2 linked regions of the Daphnia pulex genome follow. The protein of the gene in region 1 purifies or fractionates together with the protein of each later gene. This does not show direct contact. Links are inferred from orthologs where the notes say so. Each region holds a gene or a part of one and is shown in the gene's direction. Other genes may lie near its edges.

The links. The genes of interacting proteins can lie anywhere in the genome.
Region 2: the proteins of transformation/transcription domain-associated protein-like (region 1) and protein max-like purify together in Homo sapiens (affinity purification with mass spectrometry; 6 studies listed by BioGRID and IntAct, with this or other methods). This does not show direct contact. The link is inferred for Daphnia pulex from reciprocal best matches to the Homo sapiens genes TRRAP and MAX.

Annotation. Positions count from the first base shown.
Region 1 is NC_060018.1:6,522,048-6,527,629, reverse strand, and holds part of transformation/transcription domain-associated protein-like, read left to right. Parts: coding exon 1-897; intron 898-978; coding exon 979-4,704; intron 4,705-4,770; coding exon 4,771-5,109; intron 5,110-5,177; coding exon 5,178-5,582. UniProt on the Homo sapiens protein: Adapter protein, which is found in various multiprotein chromatin complexes with histone acetyltransferase activity (HAT), which gives a specific tag for epigenetic transcription activation.
Region 2 is NC_060026.1:15,126,261-15,131,407, reverse strand, and holds protein max-like, read left to right. Parts: upstream 1-2,123; 5' UTR 2,124-2,297; intron 2,298-2,385; 5' UTR 2,386-2,435; coding exon 2,436-2,498; intron 2,499-2,585; coding exon 2,586-2,636; intron 2,637-2,707; coding exon 2,708-2,815; intron 2,816-2,859; coding exon 2,860-3,001; intron 3,002-3,058; coding exon 3,059-3,210; 3' UTR 3,211-3,448; downstream 3,449-5,147. Other genes in the region: uncharacterized protein LOC124205464, read right to left, coding at 228-494, 558-908; lysosomal-trafficking regulator-like, read right to left, coding at 3,641-3,842, 3,904-4,153, 4,212-5,147. UniProt on the Homo sapiens protein: Transcription regulator. Forms a sequence-specific DNA-binding protein complex with MYC or MAD which recognizes the core sequence 5'-CAC[GA]TG-3'. The MYC:MAX complex is a transcriptional activator, whereas the MAD:MAX complex is a repressor.

The DNA of each region.
Region 1 (5,582 bases):
CTTGTGTGCGGTGTGAAAACCATCACCTGGGGATGTGCGGCCTGCAAAACTCCACTCGATACTACGACTAGTGTTGCTACTACAGGCAAGAATTTGCAACCTAAAGAAACGGTGATATTCATCCGTTTGGTGCAGTGGGCGATGAAAGCACTTGATGTGTACGCCTTAAATATTCCGAGTGCGGTCGGAGCGGAGACCTCTGGCAGTCTTAATAGCACCGTCGTTGGCTTTCCGGTCGGTGGGGCTTCCGCTGCTCGGCCGACTGTTCCAGCACAAACTATTCGCTCTAAAGAAGAAAAAGAAGTATTGGAACATTTTGCTGGTGTTTTCGCCATGATGAATCCGCAGACTTTCAAGGAAGTATTTGCCACAACAATTGACTACGTGGTAGAGCGCATTTACCGCAATAGCGCTTTGCAGGTAGTTGCAAATTCATTTCTTGCAAACCCTTCCACCTCCGCTGTTTTCGCCACCATCCTCGTCGAATATTTGCTGAATCACATGGAAGAAATGGGATTGAACATGGAGCGTTCTAATCTTTATTTGAAGTTGTTCAAACTTGTGTTTGGTAGCGTTTCTTTGTTTGCTGCGGAGAATGAACAAATGTTAAAGCCACATCTACCGCACATTGTCAACAAATCTATGGAATTAGCTTTGAGTGCTAAAGAGCCCTACAACTATTTCCTCCTGCTGCGGGCACTTTTTCGATCCATCGGCGGAGGTAGTCATGACCTCCTTTATCAAGAATTTTTGCCATTGCTTCCGAATCTTCTTCAAAGTCTAAACAGTCTTCAAAGTGGACTTCACAAGCAGCATATGAAGGATCTCTTCGTGGAACTTTGCCTGACTGTTCCCGTGCGGTTATCTTCACTCCTTCCTTACCTCCCGATGCTTATGGTAATAAAATTATGAGTTTTTTTTTTATTATTATTCTTTCTTTTCTAAATTTGTTATTTATTGTTTCCAATTTTTTTATAGGATCCTCTTGTGTCTTCGCTGAATGGTTCACAGACTTTGGTGAGCCAAGGTTTAAGAACCTTAGAACTCTGTGTCGACAATCTTCAACCAGATTTTCTTTACGAGCATATTCAGCCAGTAAGAGCTGAGTTGATGCAAGCATTATGGCGTACTTTGAGGAATCCAAACGACCAGATCGCACACGTTGCCTTTAGAGTCCTTGGTAAGTTTGGAGGTGGTAATCGTAAAATGATGGTTGAACCGCAACGACTAGACTATTGGGACAAAGAGTCTGGTCCTTGCATCGTTATCCACTTCCAAGAATTGAAACAGCCCGTTTCCCTGCCCGTCGAGAAGATTATGGAGACAGCGTTTTCTGCTTTGAAATCAAGTAGTACCGAGCCATTTTACCGAACGCAATGCTGGGAAGTAGTTCGTTGCTTTCTGCTATCTTCACTTCACCTGGATGACGATCGTCTCACAATGCAGCGTTTATTATCTCATCATTCGTTCTTGGAAGGAGATATTCATCCTGTGCAAAGTCCTTCGTTCCAGTGCAGTGACAAGCAAGCAAGACATGTACATCAAACGGCGGTTACTGCCATGTTCGTCGCAGCAGCCATAAAGGAGTTGAGGCAAGCAGTTCTGCCCACTATGGTATCTCTAGTCCGACACTACACTCTTGTTGCCGTCGTCCAGCAGGCGGGGCCGTTTCCTATGCTTGTTCCTGGTCGCTCTGCCCAACGGATTTTAGGCATGGATCCACTCGTGTTGGTTGATGCATTGGCTACGATTATGGGCCACGAAGAAAAAGAACTTTGCAAACCTGGACACTTGGCGCTAGTGTTGATGCTTGACACTGCATCTATTGTGCTCGGTTCCCAAGAGAGAGCTTGTAAACTTCCTCTAATGGAATATCTGGCAGAACGAATGTGCAGCCTTTGCTACGACAGAGCTTGGTATGCAAAATTGGGCGGTTGCATTGCCATCAAGTTCCTGTTTGAACGAATGGCATTCAAGTGGGTTCTCGAACATCAGTATGTATTCCTAAAGGCCCTCTTGTTCGTCATGATGGATCTCACTGGAGAAGTGTCGAGCGGCGCTATTGACATGGCCAAAGCCAATTTGGAGAAAATGCTTCTTTTATGCGCTACTCCGCTGCCAGAATCGTCTCCTTCTCCGGAAATTTTGTCTGCGCAAAAGAAAAGTCTGCATGACGTGACCCATGAACTCGTACGACAAGTGACCAGTCCAAATTCAACTGTACGTGAGCAAGCCATGCACCTATTGCAGGTTTTGGCACGGATAACAAACCAAACACCAACGGCCATCATGGAACCACACAAGGAAGTGTTGGCTGACATGATTCCGCCTAAAAAGCATTTACTGAGACACCAGCCAGTCAACGCCCAAATTGGGTTAATGGACGGTAACACCTTCTGCACGACGCTGAAACCCCGACTGTTCACCATTGATCTTAATATTGTCGAGCATAAGGTTTTCTTCCACGAACTACTATCGCTGTGCGAGGTGGACGACACTGTTCTTCTGAAATTACCTTGCTACAAGTCCGTGAGCAACTTGACCCCATTGAGAAAATCCGCTTTGCAAGCGTTAGCCGCTTGCCACTACATCACTCAGTGCCGAGACAAGATCTTGAATGTTATCTTCAAAGCTTTGAGTTGTAACAATGCTGAACTTCAAGAAACGGCATTCTCCTGTATGAAGAAGATACTGGTGGGCACTCAGATCGAAATGGAGACTGTACATACCGCCGTTCGTCCGTTGTTACTCTTGCTGGGCGATTATCGCAGTTTGTCTACCAATGTCATATTGCGCTTGTCTCACACGACTCAACTTTTCCCCCACGTATTCAACGAAAAGCTTTGTGAACAACTTCTTCAGCATTTACGCAAGTGGCTCGAAGTAGTGATCGTGGCGTTTAAAACCGGAGGAAATCGTCCAGTTGCTACCCAGACTAGCCACGGACCTTTCAGCAGCAGCAGCTTGTGCAGCAATGAAGTGAAGGTTGCAATTGGCATCATTGGACTTTTTCATCAGATTCCAGCTGCTTCGGCAAGATTCCTGGAAATCCTGTGCAAATTAGTGCTGCAAACAGAACGTGCCTTAGGATTAGAACCGGGCAGTCCTTTCCGAGAGCCCTTAATCAAGTTTCTTCTGCGATATCCTACCGAAACAATTGATTTACTTTTACGGGAAGATATCATTGCCGATGCTGATTGGAATCGGTTCCTTGAACATTTTGTTCGCCACAGTGAAGGCAAACCGTTTCGTGACGCTATTAAGGCCAACACAAATCGATTGGTTAATTTTGTGCTTGGCGGTCTGCCTTCGGAGTCTACAACACCCAAACCTCATGCACTGCAAGTGACGGTTCGAATCTTGCGCATCATGATCTGCAAGGACGACCAGTGGATATCTGAACAGCCCGATTTAATAACCGTGCTGACTAAAGCTTGGTGTTCGGGTCGCTACGAGGAAAAGAAAACTACGAGCCTTTCGATCGCTGAGCGAAAGGAGCAACGTCAACTGGCCAAAATTTTACTGTATTACTTTCAGCAGCACCCTGAAGAAGTTGAATTACTCTTCCATTTGATGCGCGCGTTGTGCGATCGCACGATTCCCGATTTCTACTTTTTGAAAGAATTTTTGGAAAAAACAGTCGGCCAATCATATGGAGCTGACTGGAAGCGAGCGTCTTTTTTCAAGTTTGTCGAGCTTTTCCGAAATCCCAACTTGGGACAAGAACTTAAAGCCAAAATTCTCCAACACATCATAATTCCAGGATTTGCCGTCAGTTTCGAGCGAGGAGAAGGAGAAATTCTCATTGGTACGCCACCGACCCCCGACCAAGATAACAGTGAAAGCGTTGTCAGTGTTTTCATCAATAAAGTGATTGATCCAGACAATCCTTTTGGAACTTCGGACGCTGTTCGAATCCTGTTGCTTCAGCTGAGCTGTTTGTTGGTTGAACAAGCTTCGCAACATATTCACGACGCCGCCAATAAACGCCAGGGAAACAAACTACGTCGCCTTATGACTTTTGCATGGCCGTGTCTGTTGAGCAAGAACTGTGTTGATCCAACCACCCGTTACCATGGCCATTTGCTGTTGAGTCACATCATTGCAAAGTTCGCCATTCACAAACGAATTGTGCTGCAAGTTTTCCACAGTTTGTTGAAGGCCCACGCTGTTGAAGCTCGCAATGTTGTCCGACAAGCACTGGAGATTCTAACGCCAGCTATGCCTCTTCGCATGGAGGACGGAAACACCATGCTTACCCACTGGACGAAGAAAATCATTGTTGAAGAGGGTCACACAATTGCTCAACTGGTGCACATTCTCCAGTTGCTGGTGCGTCATTACAAAGTGTATTATCCAGTTCGACATCATCTGGTGCAGTACATGATAACCTCGATTCAGCGCCTGGGATTTACTCCAACGGCCACGCTAGAGCACAAGAAGTTAGCCGTCGAATTGGCCGAAGTTGTCCTCAAGTGGGAGCTTCAGCGTATGAAGGATGAAGCTGATTCAGGAGGTGAGTCCTGCGATGAGACCATGCCATCTGGATCCGTAAAACGATCAGGAAATGACGGACTTCCAGAAGCAAAGAAGCCACGACTTGCCTCATCTTCTTCTTCAGGGAAAATGCTGGAAGTCAGTAAACCGATTGAGAAAACTCACTGTGATGCCATAGCAAACTTTTTATTAAGACTGGCGTGTCAGGTATGCTTTGTGTGTATGTTTTTGAGTTAGTATACGTGCTAAAATGTTTTTTCAATCTCTTATCAGGTGAACGATGCAACCTCGACCGCCAACAGTTCGGGCGAGCAGTTATCTAAACGATGTGTGGCTCTTCTGAAGATGGCTTTAAAACCCGATGTTTGGCCAAATTGTGAACTGAAACTAGCTTGGTTCGATCGACTGTTTCAGACTGCCGATTCTCCCGCAGCCGCTACTGCGGCCGCATCGGCAGCAGCAGCCGCTTCTGCTCCAAATTTCACCAATATTTGTACAGCTCTCGATTTACTAACATTCCTGTTAAGTATTTTGCGGAAGGAACAAATCCTGGCAGGCTTCAAACCACTTCAACGCGGGCTTTCTTCACTCATGAATTGCACGAATCCCAAAGTAATTAAATCTTACCCAATATGTCTTGTAACAATTTTCTAATATTTTGGGATATTTTGTTTCTTTAGGTTATTCGATGCCTTCATGGACTTCTTTCTCGTCTTATGTCAGTGTTTCCAACTGAGCCAACCAACTCAAATGTGGCCTCGAAGCATGAAGAGCTTGAAGGTTTATACGCTGCCGTTACGAAAGCCATTTATGAAGGATTAGGGGCATACGAGAGAAACACTACCGCACCGTCAACGTCTCTACTTGGAACCTTGATGCTGCTTAAAGCTGCGTGCACCAACAACCCTTGCTACATCGATCGGCTGATAACGTCTTTCATGAGAGCTTTGCAAAGAATGACTCGAGAACATTTAATACCTGCTACTAATGATCGCCAGGCTAATGCTACCACTACTGTACCTGAGAGCGGTTTCAGTTCGTGCGAGTTGCTCATCCTCAGCCTGGATTTGGTGAAAAATCGTGTT
Region 2 (5,147 bases), on another chromosome or scaffold:
TTTCATCCTTTTAAAAAGACGCCACCAAGTATATGCACCCTCACAAATAGTGTACTGTATAATATATATACACTTAAGGACAACCAGATGCTGAAAGACCTTCCAGAAAAACATGTAACATGCACGTTGAGTAAGTTTTTCCCGTGTTAGTTCCACCTATATAAGTCACAATACTGCTAATAGTCTTTACTCATACCTTTCATTCAAGCGCGTTATGATTGGAAATATTAGTTTAATTCGACATCTTCGTCGTTATTAACATTCGAAGGTGTTGCCTGATTGGTTTTAGCTTGCGCCGGCAACTGTTGAGGGCTATGGCCGCAGGCAATCATAGCGTCTTCATAAGACGGAGGTGGCGAATCGTCTGTTTCACCCAATTTGGGCGAAGAAGAATGGACATTACCACTGCCCAGCACATCTCCTTCAATGTGATACAATCCATTGGCTTCCCTCCAAGTCTCCCTGCTCCTCCGGCGAGCCGTTCGCTGTTGATTCTGTAAAAATGGCGAATATTTCATAATGAAATTCCCCAAGAAATAGTGTAATAACTGGTTTACCTTTCTACAACACCGTAAACGACTGATGACGAGGAAAAGTAAAAGATAAAAGACGGCCAGGATTAAAACACCTCCTAATATGATGACGTGATAGGGAATCCTGGCGGATGGCCCGTGTAGTACGGGGTAATTGGCCGTGTCGTACGTGACATATTCCGGCGTGGTGGTGCTGAGTGCCTGCGTCAAACGCGGTCTCGGCCGCAAAAGTCGTTTGCTCCATTCTTTACTGAGCTTTCCTGCATCGGGCCCGTAAAACCAGTTGATTACTTCTTTGATAACCTGAGAGTGAGTCGGCTTTTTGTTATGGGAATTCTCCAACAAACCAGCACTGTAATCCTCTTCAGCAGACATTTCTTCAATTTCTGTTCCGAACGGTGTAAGATAAAGGAAATTTTGTTTTAAATACAAGTCTGTAATTGAATGAAATGTTCATACCAAAATGACGCGGTTCAATCCACTTTTGAATTCCTGTTATCCGTGAACAAAAAGAAGTTGATGGAAAGGTTAAAACAGCACATCCAACTTGCACGACGCCAACTCAACACTAAACAAGGAATGGCATCAAATGTGAAGACAACGCGACTGACCATCAAGGCTTTGCTGCTGCTGCTGGTTATACACGATTCTTCTAGTTTTTCCAATGAATATCATCTCATGGACATCTCAAGTCTCATCCGACACACCCCATTCGCAACCTTCAAACTTTCCGGTTTTTTTTTCCCATTTGGAAGAAGGTACGACGTGAGGAGGAATCGCACTATAACGAGTATCCCATTTTATAAATTTTTTCCTACAATGACCTTAACACAAGAGATTCTGGTTCTCCTTTTGGCGCAACAATCGCCTCGGGATTCTAATCATGGAATAAGATATACGTGGTCTAGCGCTCAAAGGTTTTTTGGGTCTGAATTTTTTCCTATTCATATGGACTCTCTTCTCCGTGATGGGTGTACACTCGGCATGCACGTGTGTGACGACAACCTTCAGTCAAGAGAAGCCAAGACAATCAAATATAAGTTATAAGGTTTTAGTTGTTTTAGCGTGTTAGGTTGAATATTGGGCATCATTTATCATTTTGGGATTTTTTAAAAAACGCTAATGTAATGTGGAGGTCACTATACTTCTTTGGGCGTGTTATTGGCGAGACATTTTAAAACTATGTTTGCCCGCACCCAAAATCAGCGTATCGCAGTTAGTGGAATGTGGAAACAGTCAAGTGGATGACCTCCTCGGTTCACTACTCGCTCGACATTGAAGCGTTTCTCGCGTGTGGTTCTTCTAACGCAGGTATATTCTTGCGCACCTTTTATATGTGACCACACCTTGATTGGAGAAGAGATTTTGCATTCCATAATTTTCAACTTTGTCATCAAACATGTGTTTGAAGCACAATAGTTTATTATTTGCCGCATTTACTCTGAGTGATCCTCCGCCAATCAAATAAAAATGTCAGAATCCGTCAAATTTTTATAATAAGGACTAAGGAGTTTTTTGTTTTAATTTTGTAAAGAATTATAAATATCCTTGTCGTAATGTCGTCCTTGTTGCCGGGCGAAATTAGCAAGTTGGCAACAATTTTGCTGTTGGAATGAATTGCGCTCATTTGGCAACATCGCAAGTGCACCTCAACAACTCGATGCGCTGTTCACTTGCTGTTTAGTCTCGTGAATACAACACTTTGCCCACACTCGTGACGTGTTTACACAAAGAGAAATCGACTATCAGGCTTTAAGCAAATTGGTATAGCAGTTTCTTATCTCGATCACCTTGAACGTAACTATTGCGTTGGAAGTGTTTTGGCCCTAATCTGCAAATTTTGATCCCTTAGCTTGAAGTCTTCTTGTTGGTAACCCTAGTTTGTCTGGCTTGATTACGACCATGTCCTATGCCGTTTCCCCATCGATGAGCGATGATGAACGAGATATAGATATCGAAAGTGATGTAAGTTGTTGAACAAGATGGTTTAGCTGCATTGACCTCTTTTAAAACATTCACTTACTAAAACTTACTTTCTATCATCTGCTGTAGGAGGAGGATGGAGGTGGCTATTCACGAGGCTCTGGACAGTATTCTCAGCAAGTAAGATATTATTTGTGTGTTTTACCTGGCACAGAGCTCTTTATCAACACTTTGTGTGCTTGGATGAACAGGTTGACAAAAGAGCACACCATAATGCCTTGGAACGGAAAAGGAGAGATCACATCAAGGATAGCTTCAGTGGACTTCGAGATTCAGTTCCCTCGTTACAGGGAGAAAAAGTAAAACATAAGTGTCGAGCAAATCTCACTTAATAAAATTGTAGGATGGCTCTCGGTTTCAGGCGAGCCGTGCTCAAATACTGAAGAAGGCAGCTGATTATATACAATTCATGAGACGGAAAAATGCAGCCCACCAGCAGGATATTGATGATCTCAAAAGGCAAAATGAAGTCCTTCAAACTCAAAGTATGTTTACTTTTTTTGTTTTGCATCAGTACAACATTTAACCTTTTCTTTGTTAAGTTCGCTCCCTGGAGAAAGCCAAAATGCTTAATGTAGGTGACATGCATACCCAAGCTGAGGCTGGAAAGTATCAGGAAGATTCTGAAGGTTCTGATAGGGAAAACAGTACCAAAGGGAAACGGTCCAACAAAAAGATGAAAACATCTGTCTAGCTAAATTATTGAGATCTGCTTCATATTGACTGTTTGTGTGTCTCTGTACCTTCTGCGACCTAGGAAATCGCAATTTTGTGTCATGAGTCCTGATTCATTCGACTCTCTTTTCGTACTTTTCCACCTCACCCTCTCCCTGCTCTGATTCATTCGCTGTGCAAATAAGCTGAGAGTGATTTGGATACATCCTTGTTATGTGCTTAGTTCGAGCCAATAAAGACAAAATTTCGTTTAAAAATGAAGTTTCATCACTTTCTTGCGAATAGATTACCGTAATTATATTCAGATTTGCATGTGTAACATTATAAAGCTAAATTTATAAAAATTTTCAAGAGATTCTATCCTTTTTTGAATTTCCTGTGATTAAAATCATGAAAATCTCCTCTTTAATCGCGTTTACATATCATATCTACGGGTTTGAAAAGTATCATCATTGCAAAGTTAAATTGATAAAGGGTGGGAAGCGAGGCGATTTTTTGTGGTTATGTGGACTATCCCAAGCTAGCAGAGAACCATCGTTTCTAGCGGCTAGTAAATGCTGTGAAGTGCTCGAATATGTCAAACTGACTATCGACAAGGAGGAGTCAGTGATGATATCTCGTACGACATTTAGGGTCCAAGTATCCCACAATCTGTAGTGAGAAAACAATTAACAAGTAGGAACAAAAACAAACTTATTAGTTGATGAATTACCTAATGCGACCATTGGATAGCCCGGCAGCTACCACATTGATAGAAATTCCCTCGGGAGCAGATGAGAAACACAACGAAGTAATGAGAGGATTCGTCGTTGTCATGCCGATCAAATGCCCATTGACTGACCTCAATTCCAGCCGAGACTGCTGATCGTCCAGATTGACAGCGCATGCAATATCAGCTGTATTACGACTGACGGCCAATTGAGAAACTGGTAGTATTATATCTTTCCGGTCATTTGATAGACCTATAGGCAATTTAAAAAAATTTTAATGTTGGGTCGATGGATGTTGAAGTTGAATTACCTGGAGTGAGCTGACGGATAAAATTCAAAGAATGAAGATCCCAGAGGATAATTGATCCATCACTTCCACTGGAGACAGCGAGGCTGAACGACGAACACAAGACGAGCTGTTGAAGGGGTCCAACGTGACCAGAGAGAACTGTCGGCGGTCCAGTCAACTCAAAATGAGGTTTCAGTGGGTCAAACAGAAAAGGATAGACCCGCATGATTCCAGATCGATAGGCAACCCAGATCCTGTTGTAATCCGGTAAAGTTGAGCATAAAATCACGCTATCGTGCGCTTCCGATTGAAAGAGAGGTTTCACAGGTTCATCCTTCCGGATTTTGATTCTTACAATTCCGTCCGATTGACCCCAAGAGATCAATGCCACCCCTAGAATCCCTGTCGGTCGGCCAAGGAACGAATCCTTGTCGTACGAATGGGACAGAATGGCGGTGGTGAAAGGGCCCAGAGCGTAAGTATCTCCAGTTCGCAACGGGAGGAAGGAATGGACTGGAATAGCAAAAGATTCTTTATGTTTCAATACAGGAGCCTGACAGGACGGCGAGCCCACATAACAGCCCCATTGGAGGTGTTCGACAGACGGCAAGAGATTGCGACTCCGGCGAATGGATTTAGCGTTAAGGGGCTGGACGCTCATAGGATGTGGCTGGCGGAAGAGTTGGCGAGGCACTTGACCGTATGATCGAATCATAGTGAGTTTCGCATTCCGTTCAATCGGATCGTCATTGACTCCTTCTGTAGTATCAAATCCGGCGTAAGTGGACGGATGGAAAACGTTAATGGACTCTATCGCAGATGGTCCAGTCTGTTTGAAGCCAAAGATCAAATCGATCCAATGATGGAGATGGTCTCGGACCCAGCTGGACTCTAAAGCCTGTCGATGGATTTGAATGAAAAGGCGTGGCTTCCCCAGACTCCAAGGTGGAAGCTGAA